Linked DNA regions of Danio rerio. The protein of the gene in region 2 interacts with the protein of the main gene of each other region in a biochemical or structural test. Links are inferred from orthologs where the notes say so. Each region holds a gene or a part of one and is shown on either strand. Other genes may lie near its edges.

Region 1 (3,521 bases), on a different chromosome or scaffold from region 2:
ATATATATATATATATATATATATATATATATATATATATATTATAGTTTCCATAGTCTACAGAACAAACCATTGTTATACAATAACTTGCCTAATTACTCTAACCTTCCTAGTTAACCTAATTAACCTAGTTAAACCTTTAAATGTGACTTTAAGCTGTATAGAAATGTTTTTAAAAATATCTAGTCAAATATTATTTACTGTCATCCTGGAAAAGATTAAATAAATTAGTTATTAGAAATGAGTTATTAAAACTAGTTGGTTCAGAAATGTGTTGAAAAAAATCTTCAAATAGGGGAAGAAAATGGGAGGGCTAATAATTCTGACCTCAACTGTATAATAGAGAAAACTAGGCAAGACATATATTTAAATTTGTGATTTATTTTCATCCATTATGAAAATGATGTTTGTAAATGTATATATGGTTGTTGTCTTTTTTTTTCTTTTTTTTTTAAATAAAAGTACCTGAAATCCAGAAGAGGAACCCATAATTTAAAACGCAGTAGAAATGTGAATACTGAACCAAAAATTTTAAATATTTATTCTCTACTTGAACCCCAACAGCTGGACTCTGATTCTGACCGCGTTGGAGACAAATGTGACAGTAACCAGGATATCGATGAAGACGGTCACCAGAACAACCTGGACAACTGTCCATACATCCCCAATGCCAACCAGGCTGATCATGACAAGGACGGTAAAGGAGATGCCTGCGACTACGATGATGATAATGATGGCATTCCTGACGAAAAAGACAACTGCAGACTGGTCTTCAATCCAGATCAGCTAGATTCTGATGGTGCGTTTTACACCGGAATATCTGTAACACTTCACATTGCACTCATAAATGTACAGATTTATACTTAAGCGTTTACCTTCCTCCTTTTGCAGGCGATGGACGTGGCGATGCCTGTAAAGATGACTTTGACATGGACAATGTTCTGGATATCTATGATGTCTGTCCTGAGAACTTCGATATCAGTGAAACCGACTTCCGCAAGTTCCAGATGGTTCCTCTGGATCCCAAGGGCACTTCTCAGATCGATCCCAACTGGGTGGTTCGTCATCAAGGAAAAGAGCTGGTTCAGACAGTCAACTGCGACCCTGGCATTGCTGTTGGTAAGCTAAAAAAAAAGGGTAGAATTAAATTTAATGAATGCTACGACAGAAAAATATATGGAAAAACACCTGGAAATGCTAACTTTATATACATAAACGGTTAACAAAATCCTGCATGGTACCTTAGCTTGCAAAGACACATGCATTATATAATGTATTTATTAACTAGCACAAAAATGAAACAAAAATAATTATTATATTAAATATGACTGGATAAAACTTTATGCAGTCCATTAATTTATATTCCATTCTGAATTCAAAAAGCATTAAAAAATGAATCATACAACTAAAATATGTCAGCAACCACAAAATTCTTACCTGTTTCTTCAAACTCTTAAAGGTTTTGATGAGTTCAATTCAGTGGACTTCAGTGGAACATTCTTCATCAACACTGAGAGGGATGACGACTATGCTGGTTTTGTTTTCGGATACCAGTCCAGCTCTCGCTTCTATGTGGTCATGTGGAAGCAGATCACACAGACCTACTGGTCCAGCACACCTACCAAAGCACAGGGTTACTCAGGGCTGTCCATCAAAGTGGTTAATTCCACCACAGGACCTGGGGAGCATCTGAGAAACGCCCTTTGGCACACTGGAGACACACCAGGACAGGTAAAGTGTGCTTCAATGGATAGTTCACCCAAAACTGAAAATATACTCACTATTTACTCACCCTCAAGTGATTCCAAACCTTTACGAGTATCTGTCTTCTGTTAAACATGAAATAGATATTTTGAAAACCTGTAACTATTGACTTCCAGTAGTCAGAAAAACTGTAACAAAATTCTGTGGAAGTCAATAGTTACAGGTTTCCAGCTTTCTTTCAAATATTTTCTTTATTTCTTAAGTCAAACGGATAATATCAGGTTTGAGAGCCTTCATGTGAATGCTAAATTTGACTTGATTTGTTATAGGTGCGCACATTGTGGCATGACCCAAAGAATGTGGGATGGAAGGACTTTACTGCTTACAGATGGCACCTGACACACAGACCAAGAACTGGACACATAAGGTAATATTATAAACATTATTAAATCCAAAACCTAATCTAATATATTTAAAAAGCTGCAAAAAAATATTGTTATATATCGAAACTAAAATTTTTCTAGTGTATTTTTTATTACAAATACCATCTGAAATCATCATGCAGGCAAATAATATTAGTCTATAAATAAGTCTAAAATTAAATGATGATGCTTAAAACATGAAAAATAGCAAACATTTGTATTAGTATTAATGTGTCATACACATTCTTAAAAGGCTATTTTCAAAAGTTCACACTTAGCTGATGATTGATTATAAAGCGTGTTTGGCATAAGATCCTCAAGCCCAGGGCTCCCTCCCGTTGCAGGGCAAGAGTGGAATTTGAGCTCAGGTAGATCTTGAAACTTCCCTGCCGTAGTAGCTAATGAACAGATAGGGATTGCTCTTAAGATTTAGCTACTTACTAGGAGCACGTCTATAGTGGCGATTTAGATTAGTCAATTAGTCAGCCGGGGGGCCCATGGGAAACCTATGTGACCACGGGGAGAACATGTAAACTCCGCACAGAAACGTCGGCTAGCTTGGTAACGACTAGAACCAGTGATGTTCTTGTTGTGAGGCAACAATGTTAACCACTGGGCCACTATGCCACCCATCCAAAAAAGGAGGAGAAGTAGGGGTGGAAGAGGGCATTCTTCAAAACGAAGATGGTTGTGATATGGGACTTAGGGTATTTATAGCTACTTAGGAATCATCTAATTGGTGAATCATAAATATGCTAATGCATGACCAGCTGTGTTTAATCATAAGCACGTGATCCTCTCGAAATGAGTTTCCAAATTATCTTCACTTAATGTGCTGACAAAATATTTCTCTGCATATTTCAGAGTGGTCATGTATGAAGGCAAAAAGATCATGGCAGATTCTGGCAGAATCTACGACAAAACATACGCAGGCGGAAGACTAGGTCTCTTCGTCTTCTCACAAGAGATGGTGTATTTCTCAGACCTCAAATACGAATGCAGAGGTGAGCATCAACACATCGCATAGACTTCTAAACAAGCACTCATTTACATCAATTCCCGAAACTCAACAATAACTCTTCCTGTCTTTTCCTTTTTCAGATGCGTAATTGCACAGGCTGGAAGTTTATCAAAGATGCACCTTTCGATATAAATATGTATTCCAAGCAAAGTCCAGGGACAGATTCGATGCTACTTTTTTTCTGCTGTCGCTCGCACACCGGTGGAGTGAGAAAGCAGCTGGTCAACTTCAATGTAATGTCACTGGTTGGGATAGAAACCGGATCTAGACTCCTCCACCATTAGCAGGTAGAGCAGAAGAAAGTCTCCCTCGCTTGGCTTATTTGGGAAGACCGAGATCTCTCTGAAAAACCTCATTGGGCTCTGTGTGGGGAA
Region 2 (4,734 bases):
CCCAAGAGGAGACCCAGTGAGTAGACTTTTTGTTGTTGAAAATCTACTTACCAGCTTATTATGAATGTTTTTTTCCTACTATGTTTTGAAGACTAGTAATAAAATGAAACAAAAATGCACAATGGGGTTTTCAAGAGTACAAATGTCATAGGTGTTAAAAAGCTTGTATTCATATTAGAGGTAAACTGAAGGTAGTTATTAAGCATTTAACCTGTTGACCTTTACTTGTTCCGCTGACCTTTGACCTCTTTAACCTTATGTAACTTGCACAACGTTGCATATTAAAGCTTTTTATATATATTATGTCACTTACAGCACAGTTTAAAACTTTATATGATATTTTATACACGTTATGCAAAACAAAATGATAATAAAATCAGTATGGAAAGAAATTATTGTTCATGGGTCTCTGCTGTGTTTTACAGGGTCCTGTTGGGCCTCCTGGCAGAGATGGTACTCCCGGAGAGAATGGACTCCCTGGCCCTCCTGGTCCTCCTGGGACCTCTGGCCTTGGCGGCGGAGTAAGGAATTAATTCCGATATTTATATATATTATTTTTTATTTAATCTGTGAATCTGGATTTGAGTTATCTGCATCCTACAATTATATTTAGGATAACCAGACAGAAAGAATCTGTGCATAGTCTTCCACTGCTACACAGTAGATTTTTATGTTTGCCATAGAATATATGATATATATGAAGGTAAATACAGTAAAAATGTGTATTATTATTGCAATAAAATACTAAAGTAATAATTAACTTTTAGTAAAAATAAAATAATAAACAAAATATTGTTTAAAAAGATTTTTTATACATCGATTTCCTTCAGAAATTGCTAGTAATGCACAAAATGCAATGTGACATTTTTAGTAGAAATACTGAAGTTGAACGTCTTGTATTTTAATAATCTTATTCATTACAACAACCAAAATAATATGAGCTTACTGTGTAGTTCAGTACCTAACTATGTGAACAGCTCCCATCATTCCCACCACTAGGATTCACATTAGGTTGAACAGGAATAAAAGCAGACTGTGCACTCTTTAAAAGCAGTTTTTAAAGGTGTTTGTGGTTTATCAGATGCATGCTTTAATTTACATCCATGTGTATGACGAGTTCATTATTATCTGGCATTAAAATGAACTCAATCCTTGAGTAGTTCAGCAATAAATAATGAGCTGAAGATAATCACAGAAGCTCATACTTTGATTCTCTTGCTCTCCCGCAGTCTTTCCTATCCCAGATGGCTTATGGCAGTGAGAAATCCAGCGGTCCTCCTCAACCCGGACCAGCAGTAAGTCAGCTTCTCTATTTTTCCTCTTGTTCCTGTGGACAGAATAATCAGAATTTCTGATTATTCTGCACTCTTCTGTACATATCATAACTCACTGTTATTGTGCATAAACATCAATAACACTTTTAGAATCGGCCATTTAACAATGTTTAATGTTGTTAACAATAAATACTGGCTTTTAGGTGTACATTATTATTATGTCTACATTTAACATGTTGCTTTCTCTCTTGTAGGGCCCCATGGGTCCCCGTGGCCCCCCAGGACCTGCAGGTTCACCTGTAAGTTGGTTTTAATACTATAAAATAAATAGGTTAAGATTATAAACTAAATCTTTTACCTGAAATCTAACTGTATTTGTCCGTGTTTTTCTCAGGGCCCTCAGGGATTTACTGGCCCCCCAGGCGAGCCTGGTGAGCCTGGTTCTCCTGTAAGTACCTTGCATTTACTTTATTCATTCTTAGTGTTTCTATGTGGGAAAACTTTACATTTTACAAAGCATATATGCTGGTAAATATTATTATTAATCTGTTTGCAGGGTCCAATGGGTTCTCGTGGTCCTCCCGGCCCTCCTGGAAAGAACGGAGAAGATGTGAGTGTTTCTTTTCCTCCTTTAAATCATCTTCAGTAAGTCCTTCATGCCTATTTATATTGGTTTTTGCTCTTCCTTAGGGTGAAGCTGGCAAAGCAGGCCGTCCCGGTGAGCGTGGAGCAGCTGGGCCTCAGGTGAGATATTTTTCATTAATATTCATAGACATTTTGAATTAGTGTGTAGGACATGCTCATTGTGATGTAATATATATGTGGAGTTGTACACAATATAGATTGCATTGTCATGCTAATTTCACAGGGTGCTCGTGGATTCCCAGGAACCCCTGGACTCCCCGGCATCAAGGGACACAGAGTGAGTATGACAGCAAATAATATTTTTATTTTATTTTATTGCTTAAAAGATTCAATTATGTTTATTTATACATTGTCATTGTAAAGCCATTTTTGTAATACTCATATGTATTTAAATTATTTGTGTTTTCTGTTTTATGTGCAATACTCATGCATCTTTGCATAAATTAAGTATAAATAATCAGATTGTATAAAAATAAGTAATTAAATGTGTTATTTTATATTAGGTTGCATTATTTCTTTAGATATTCTTTAATATAATGCTCATTAAATGTGTTGTTTTTTTTATTTTGTGTACAATATTGCTTAATATTTTTTTAGCTATTTAAGATTTAGATTAGCTTAGATTTTAGCTTTGTTTAATGCGATTTCTCATCATATGTTTTTAGGCTATATACATTAATTTATATTAAGTAATTCTACATTAAGTAATTAAATAAATAAATATAAAATTGCATAAAATAAGTCATTAAATGAGTCTAAAGTAATAAAATAAGTCATAAAATGTATTATTTTATATTAGGTTTCATAATTTTTTAGATATTCATTAATATAATGCTCATTAAATGTGTTGTTTTTATTTCGTGTACAACAGTGCTCAGGATACATAAATAATTTATATTAAGTCATTCTACATTAAGTAATTAAATAAATAAGTATAAAATAATGCAATTGCATAAGATAAGTTATTATATGAGTCTAAAGTTATAAAATAAGTAACTAAATGTATTATTTTATATTAGTTTGCATTGGTTTTTTTTTAGATATTCATTAAAATAATGTTCATTAAATGTGTTGTTTTTTATTTTGTGTACAATATTTCTTAAAATGTGTGTTTTGTAAGCTAATTTAGAGTTAGATTAGCTTAGATTTTAGCTATTTGTTTAATACAATTTCCCATCATATGTGTTTAGGCTACATAAATTAATTTACATGAAGTTATTCTACATTATGTAATTAAATAAATAAGTATAAAATAATGCAATTGCATAAGATAAGTTATTAAATGAGTCTAAAGTTATAAAACTTTTATAAACGTATTATTTTATATTAGGTCGCATATTTATTTTTAGATATTTATTAATATGCTCACCAAATGTGTGTACAATAATGCTTAAAATGTGTTTTTTTACCTCCTTTCATACATTCCAAAATTTTTGTTATTTATTTAATGAAATTTCCCTTCATGTGTGTTTAGGCTATATACATTAATTTACAATAAGTAATTAAATATATATAAAATAATGAAATTGCATGAATAAAAAATGTATTAAATGGATTATTTTATGTTAGGTTGCATATTAATTTTAGATATTCATTAATATACTCACCAGATGTGTTTATTTTATTTAATTTGGTCTACAATGTTGCTTAAAATGTGTACATTCTAAATTTTAGCTATTTATTTAATGCAACAAGAAGTACAGCTTTCTGTGAATGTTTCAAAACTGACATTTTATTGCAAATTGCATTGTTTACACACTTTAGTTTAAGTTAACAATTCACTTCATTAACTATTTTATTAACTGCTTATCATTAAGATATAACCTGTTTATTAGTACTTCTTAAATATAATCCTATTCTACATCCTTAATTCTACCTAATATCAAAACTACTACCATAATAACTATTAATAAGCAGCAAATTAGTAGTCTATTAAGCTTAAGTCTAATAATAGTGAGAATTGTACCTTAAAATAATGACCGTAATTTTATTGCTTCATTCAGGGATTCCCTGGTCTAGATGGATCTAAGGGAGACGCTGGCATTGCTGGACCTAAGGTTAGATTTTTATTTTTCACATGCAGATATTATTATTCACATGTATGCCACATTGCATCCTCAATTAATCATATTTTCACTCTGTTTAGGGAGAAGCTGGTTCTCCTGGTGAGGCTGGAACTCCTGGAGCCATGGTGAGTGGATTCGGACAGCATTAAGAGATCATGTAGATATCTTAAAACCTAAAACTAGTCTCATATTCGCTCCTTTTTTTTCCTTCTTTATTCAGGGTGCTCGTGGTTTGCCTGGTGAGAGAGGTCGTCCTGGTCCTCCCGGTCCTTCTGTAAGTAACTACAATCTTACAAAAACATCTTGAGTTGATTCATTTAAACTTTATGTTGAATATTCAGTACAGTCTTATCATGTTTACACCTCATATGTTTATTTTGCTTATGCATTTATGAGCAATACATACTGATTGTTCTTGAGTAAACATTTATAAGTGTGATAATTTGAAGTCTGCATTAATGCAAACAAATTAAAGTCTGTTACTTGATTATTGAACAAAATGCATGGATATTTATAAATTGCTTTCACATGTATAGTCATTCTTATTTCAAGAATTGCTGGCTTGTGCGAATCTCAAAAGAATAGTTCACCCAAAACTGAAAATTCTGTCTTCATTTACCTGTCATACGCTTGTTGTTTTAGTTAAACACAAAAGAAGATATTTTGAAAAATTCTGCAAACCTGTAACCATTGATGTCCATAGAATTTGTATTTCCTTCTATGGATGTTATGAATGGTTACAGGTTTCT
Region 3 (4,734 bases), on a different chromosome or scaffold from region 2:
AGTTTTTTTTTTAACTCAAATGGTTTATAGCAATTTTTCCTCAAACAGTTTGAGTTGCCTTTACTTGAGTTTTACAGTACTCAGTTGGTTTGAGTTCTCTTCATTTATTGAGTTTTACTGTGCTCAAATTGCTTCGTTTACTCAAATGGATTAAGTTAAGAGTATTCATTAGGATTAGTTTTTGAACTTAAAGGGTTTGTTGCAATCAGTTTCCTCAAACGGTTTAAGTAAGCTTAACTGTTTGGGCTTTACAATGTAGAATTTAAATACATTTTCTTCTATGAAAGGTGTTTAATTGATTATAATTAAATGTATTTTTACAATATTTTATGTTAAATATGTAAATACAGCATTAAATTTGGTATTATACACAATTAAACTGATAAAATGTTTCCCTATTTATCAAACTATCCTATTTAAGATTTATTTATGTGTTCTTTCAGGCAAACACAATCTGAGTAATATTAAATAATATCCTGGCTCAATTTGTGATGACAGTAAACATAAAAGTATGGCAGTTGCTGGAAACCAGTGATAGGAGTTTATAAAGTTATAAAGATAGATATTTTCCTTATAAGTATAGTATCAATAACTGCTGTTGATATTGCTATAGTGAGTAATAACTTTAAAATATAGAATACATTTAAAAACGTTAAGTGTTTAGAAAAATGCACTTCATAATTTGACCACACGGACAAAACCCGTTGGTAAATAATCAAACACTTTGTTATTAATGATAATTGGCTACTGCAATCAAAACATCAGCAGAAACACGTGTGATTGGTTAGAATGCTCATAGCCTAACAACATAAGAAATTTAATATAACATTACTCTGATGTGACATTAGACAACTCTGTCTAATGGTGAATTTTTGGCAATTTCTTTGGTACATTTTATGTACATTTTTTTTTCTCAAGCCAATAATTTCTGACCCTGATTCGCACAGACTTTGAGCGTAAAACTCAGACCACTCACAAACCCGGCCATCAATGCTGAGTGCTTTGGAGTGATTGATGGCTTGTAGCTTTGAGGCGTCCCTGTTGCCCTCTCCAAACACTGAGTACAGGACGAGCCCGAGCTTGCACAAAGCACACTGAATCCCCTTAAATCTGCCTGATCCACCACCGCTGTACAGTTGATGGGATGAGTCGGGAGTGAAGGGCTCAGATGGAGCTCCTGCTGTGTCGTTGTCTCATCGCTAAGCAGGGTGTCTCAGTCAGAAACTCGCTAAATGTGTTTCTGGCGTAAACGAATTAAGCCCTAACAGCTATTACACTAATATTAGCCAGAGGGCTGTAATTTGCCCCCTTTTAGGCTATAATACTACGGTATATGTCAGCACAGGAGGAGCACTGGCATGCTGTTTGTGTTTATTATTTGTTTGAAATGGATTGCTTTATTGTGTGTACTTTTGTTTAGACATCGCTCCCTGCTTGGAGAATGAGCTGAATGAGTTCCCCCTGCGCATGAGAGACTGGCTGAAGAACGTGCTGGTGACTTTGTATGAGCGTGATGAGGACAACAACCTGCTCACCGAGAAGCAGAAACTCAGGGTAAGTTCAACTTCGTGTTCTTTACAGTCTGAAAAACCTTTATGATGCAGCTTGACTAGCTGATTTTTCCATTTAACTCAGCATAACAATTTAAAGACATCTGATTTAGAAAATAGAAAAAATAGAAAACTAAACTATTAATAAAACTACAGTAGTTACTCAACGTAACAGCAATAACAGAGAAATAAAATATAATAGTTTTCACAATTAAACTATTTATGCTATTTTAAGGAATCTGAATTTATGTACTTTATTTTAGAAAAATCTAATAAATGCAAATAGTCAATTATAAATTATGATAATTAATTTTTAATTTGATTTTAATTTACTACCTTAATGTCAACATGACATCAAATTGACGTCTAGCATTGGCAACAAAAAGCCAAAATCGATTACAGCAGTGTTTCTCAACCACGTTCCTGGAGGACCACCAGCTCTGCATATTTTCCGTGTCTCCCTAACCAAACACACATGATTCAGATCATCAACTCATAAGCAGAGACTAAAAGACCTGTAATAGGTGGGACAGACAAAGGAGACATCAAAAACATGAATTGGGTTTGCAGTGTTGGTGCTTCTGCAGAAGTGTGGTTGAGAAACACTGAATTACAGGACAGTTTTTATATGTTTTCGACGTCAATGTTAGATGTCAATTTGATTGCATCAAGATGGTTTACATGCATACTATGAATATAGAATCGAGTGTAAAGTTTAACTTGGAATCGTAGCTTTCAGATGAATAAAACTTTCCTTATATTATTATATAATAATTTTTGTGTCATTATTTTGGTGATCAAAATGGCATTAAATCAATTTGCATTTTTGACATGTTTTTTAACATCATACTTGATGTCAATTTGATGTCATTTTGACATAAAGGTGCCCTTTGGGATGTCCATATATCACCACATGTCAGATTTCTGTATGGGAATTAAACCCACATGGCTCTAAAATTCCAGCAAACCTTATCCTGTTGTTGCAGGTGAAGAAGATTTACGAGAATGAGAAGAGGCTTCAGGCTGGTGATCACTCTCTGGACCTTTTGGCCCTGGACTTTGAAAAGAACTACAACATGTACATCTTCCCCGTTCACTGGCAGTTTGGCCAGCTTGACCAGCACCCTATTGATGGGTATGCTGTCTCATTTTTACAACTATTTTAGCTAGTTTCATCCTATTATTCTATAAGTTTCATTTACATATATTCTATACATTTCATCAGGTTCCTGTCCCACACTGAGCTGGCCCCTCTGCGTGCTCCTCTTATCCCAATGGAGCACTGCACCACCAGCTTCTTTGAGCAGTGCGATGCTGACCAAGACAAGTACATCGCTCTGGAGGAGTGGGCAAACTGCTTCGGGATCAAAGAGCGTGAGTTTCTGATCATATGATTTATCTATGGGTAACACTTTACAATAGGGGTCCATTAGGTAAATGTTAGCTGATGTTTTACTGTGGCATCAGAAAAAATCTGAACAATACATTATCTTGGTTAAGGTGTAAAAATATTTTTAGCCATTGTTAAACCACAGTGAATTAAATAATAGTACCATAAACAACTTTGAATTATTTAATAATTGATCAGTAAATGTTGAAATAAACATATGATTAATAAATACACAAAACTGTGACCCATATAGATGCATATCTTTCTCTTTAGATAGATAGATAGGTATTAGTGGTATTTATCAAATTGTTTTCGAATTGGATTATGGAACCTTGATCTTTCGTCCAACGTCATTTAATGTTGAATATTTTGATATTTTGAATAATAATAATAATAATAATAATAATAATAATAATAATAATAATAATAATAATAATAATAATAATAATAATAATAATAATAATAATTATAATAATAATAATAATAAAAACTAAAAGAATTTGTTTACATTTTTAATTTTTTGAAGTGATATACTGCCTGGACTGGTGTTGTAAATTATGGTACAAAAACATAAAAATACTCTGCCAGAAATTTTCCTTTTATTTTTCAGACTTTCATTTTTCTAAGTACAATATTTCTTATACAATATATTGTTTCAAACTACTAACATTTCAATACAACTACAGAGTTGAATTTTCAACATCCAAAGTTGACAGAGCAGAGAACAAAGTCCCATAATGCAATTCATAACTGTAAATATGAAGATTTTTATGATGGATGAATAGATGGATGGATAGGTCGATTTTTTTGCTACCAAATTTACTAATAAGACGAAAATATCGGTATTGTGTTGTATTAATGTAAATATACACTTAAAGTCATTATTATTAGTCCCACTTTGAATTTTTTTCCCTTTTTAAAATATTTTTCAAAATGATGTTTAACAAAGCAATGAATTTTTTTGCAGTTTACCTGATAATATTTTCTTTTAGTAAAAGTCTTATTTGTTTTATTTCGACTAGAATAAAATATTTTTTTTTAATTTAAACACATTTTTAGGTCAAAATTATTAGCCCCTTTAAGCTAGATTTTTTTTCTAAAGTCTACAGAACAAACCACTGTCATACAATAACTTATGAACCTGCCCAGGTAACCTAATTAACCTAGTTAAGCCTTTAAATGTCACTTTGAGCTGTATAGAAGTGTCTTGATAAGTATCTAGTGAAATATTATTTACTGTCATCATTGCAAAGATAAAATAAATCAGTCATTAGAAATAAGTTATTATGCTATTATGTTTAGAAAAGTTTTTCCAAAATTTTGACAGGGGTTGACAGGGGGGCTAATAATTCTGACTTAATCTGTATTTCTGAAAACCTTATTGCTTTGTACTGAAAAAAAATCTAAATTACAAATGAAATGTCATCAGTTGTTTACAGTATAAAACAAGTATTATGTTTTGCTTAAATACAATTCTGATATTTTAAGTAGTTTACACAACTGTATACACAGCAAAAATTCCTTGCTAACTTAGTCTCTTTTCTGCTTTCAGAGGATGTCGACAAAGACCTTGTCATCTAAGGACGTCTTCCATTGATGCTTCCTAGTTATTATTGGGGGGAGGTGCTAACCCTTAAGTTAAAATCAAAGTAAAGGTGCTAATTGCGATTTCTAACAAGCTGCATATACCACTAAACATTCAAAATGTTTAAAAAAGTGCACAGTTCACACTGTAGCTATATCACAACAAGTGATTAAATACTGGCCAATTTTTTACGTTAGCTGATGTCAGCC

What was found.
Region 1: the proteins of col1a1b (region 2) and thbs1b form a complex in vitro, tested with the Homo sapiens proteins (2 studies listed by BioGRID). The link is inferred for Danio rerio from reciprocal best matches to the Homo sapiens genes COL1A1 and THBS1.
Region 3: the proteins of col1a1b (region 2) and sparc form a complex in vitro, tested with the Homo sapiens proteins (2 studies listed by BioGRID). The link is inferred for Danio rerio from reciprocal best matches to the Homo sapiens genes COL1A1 and SPARC.

What each region holds. Positions count from the first base shown.
Region 1 is NC_133195.1:31,775,699-31,779,219, reverse strand, and holds part of thbs1b (thrombospondin-1), read left to right. Parts: intron 1-564; coding exon 565-799; intron 800-891; coding exon 892-1,119; intron 1,120-1,459; coding exon 1,460-1,731; intron 1,732-2,033; coding exon 2,034-2,131; intron 2,132-2,990; coding exon 2,991-3,130; intron 3,131-3,227; coding exon 3,228-3,235; 3' UTR 3,236-3,521. UniProt on the Homo sapiens protein: Adhesive glycoprotein that mediates cell-to-cell and cell-to-matrix interactions.
Region 2 is NC_133187.1:3,514,807-3,519,540, reverse strand, and holds part of col1a1b (collagen, type I, alpha 1b), read left to right. Parts: coding exon 1-16; intron 17-425; coding exon 426-521; intron 522-1,229; coding exon 1,230-1,295; intron 1,296-1,528; coding exon 1,529-1,573; intron 1,574-1,668; coding exon 1,669-1,722; intron 1,723-1,830; coding exon 1,831-1,884; intron 1,885-1,964; coding exon 1,965-2,018; intron 2,019-2,142; coding exon 2,143-2,196; intron 2,197-3,922; coding exon 3,923-3,976; intron 3,977-4,065; coding exon 4,066-4,110; intron 4,111-4,205; coding exon 4,206-4,259; intron 4,260-4,734. UniProt on the Homo sapiens protein: Type I collagen is a member of group I collagen (fibrillar forming collagen).
Region 3 is NC_133189.1:30,213,833-30,218,566, reverse strand, and holds part of sparc (SPARC), read left to right. Parts: intron 1-1,420; coding exon 1,421-1,554; intron 1,555-2,536; coding exon 2,537-2,685; intron 2,686-2,775; coding exon 2,776-2,924; intron 2,925-4,492; coding exon 4,493-4,521; 3' UTR 4,522-4,734.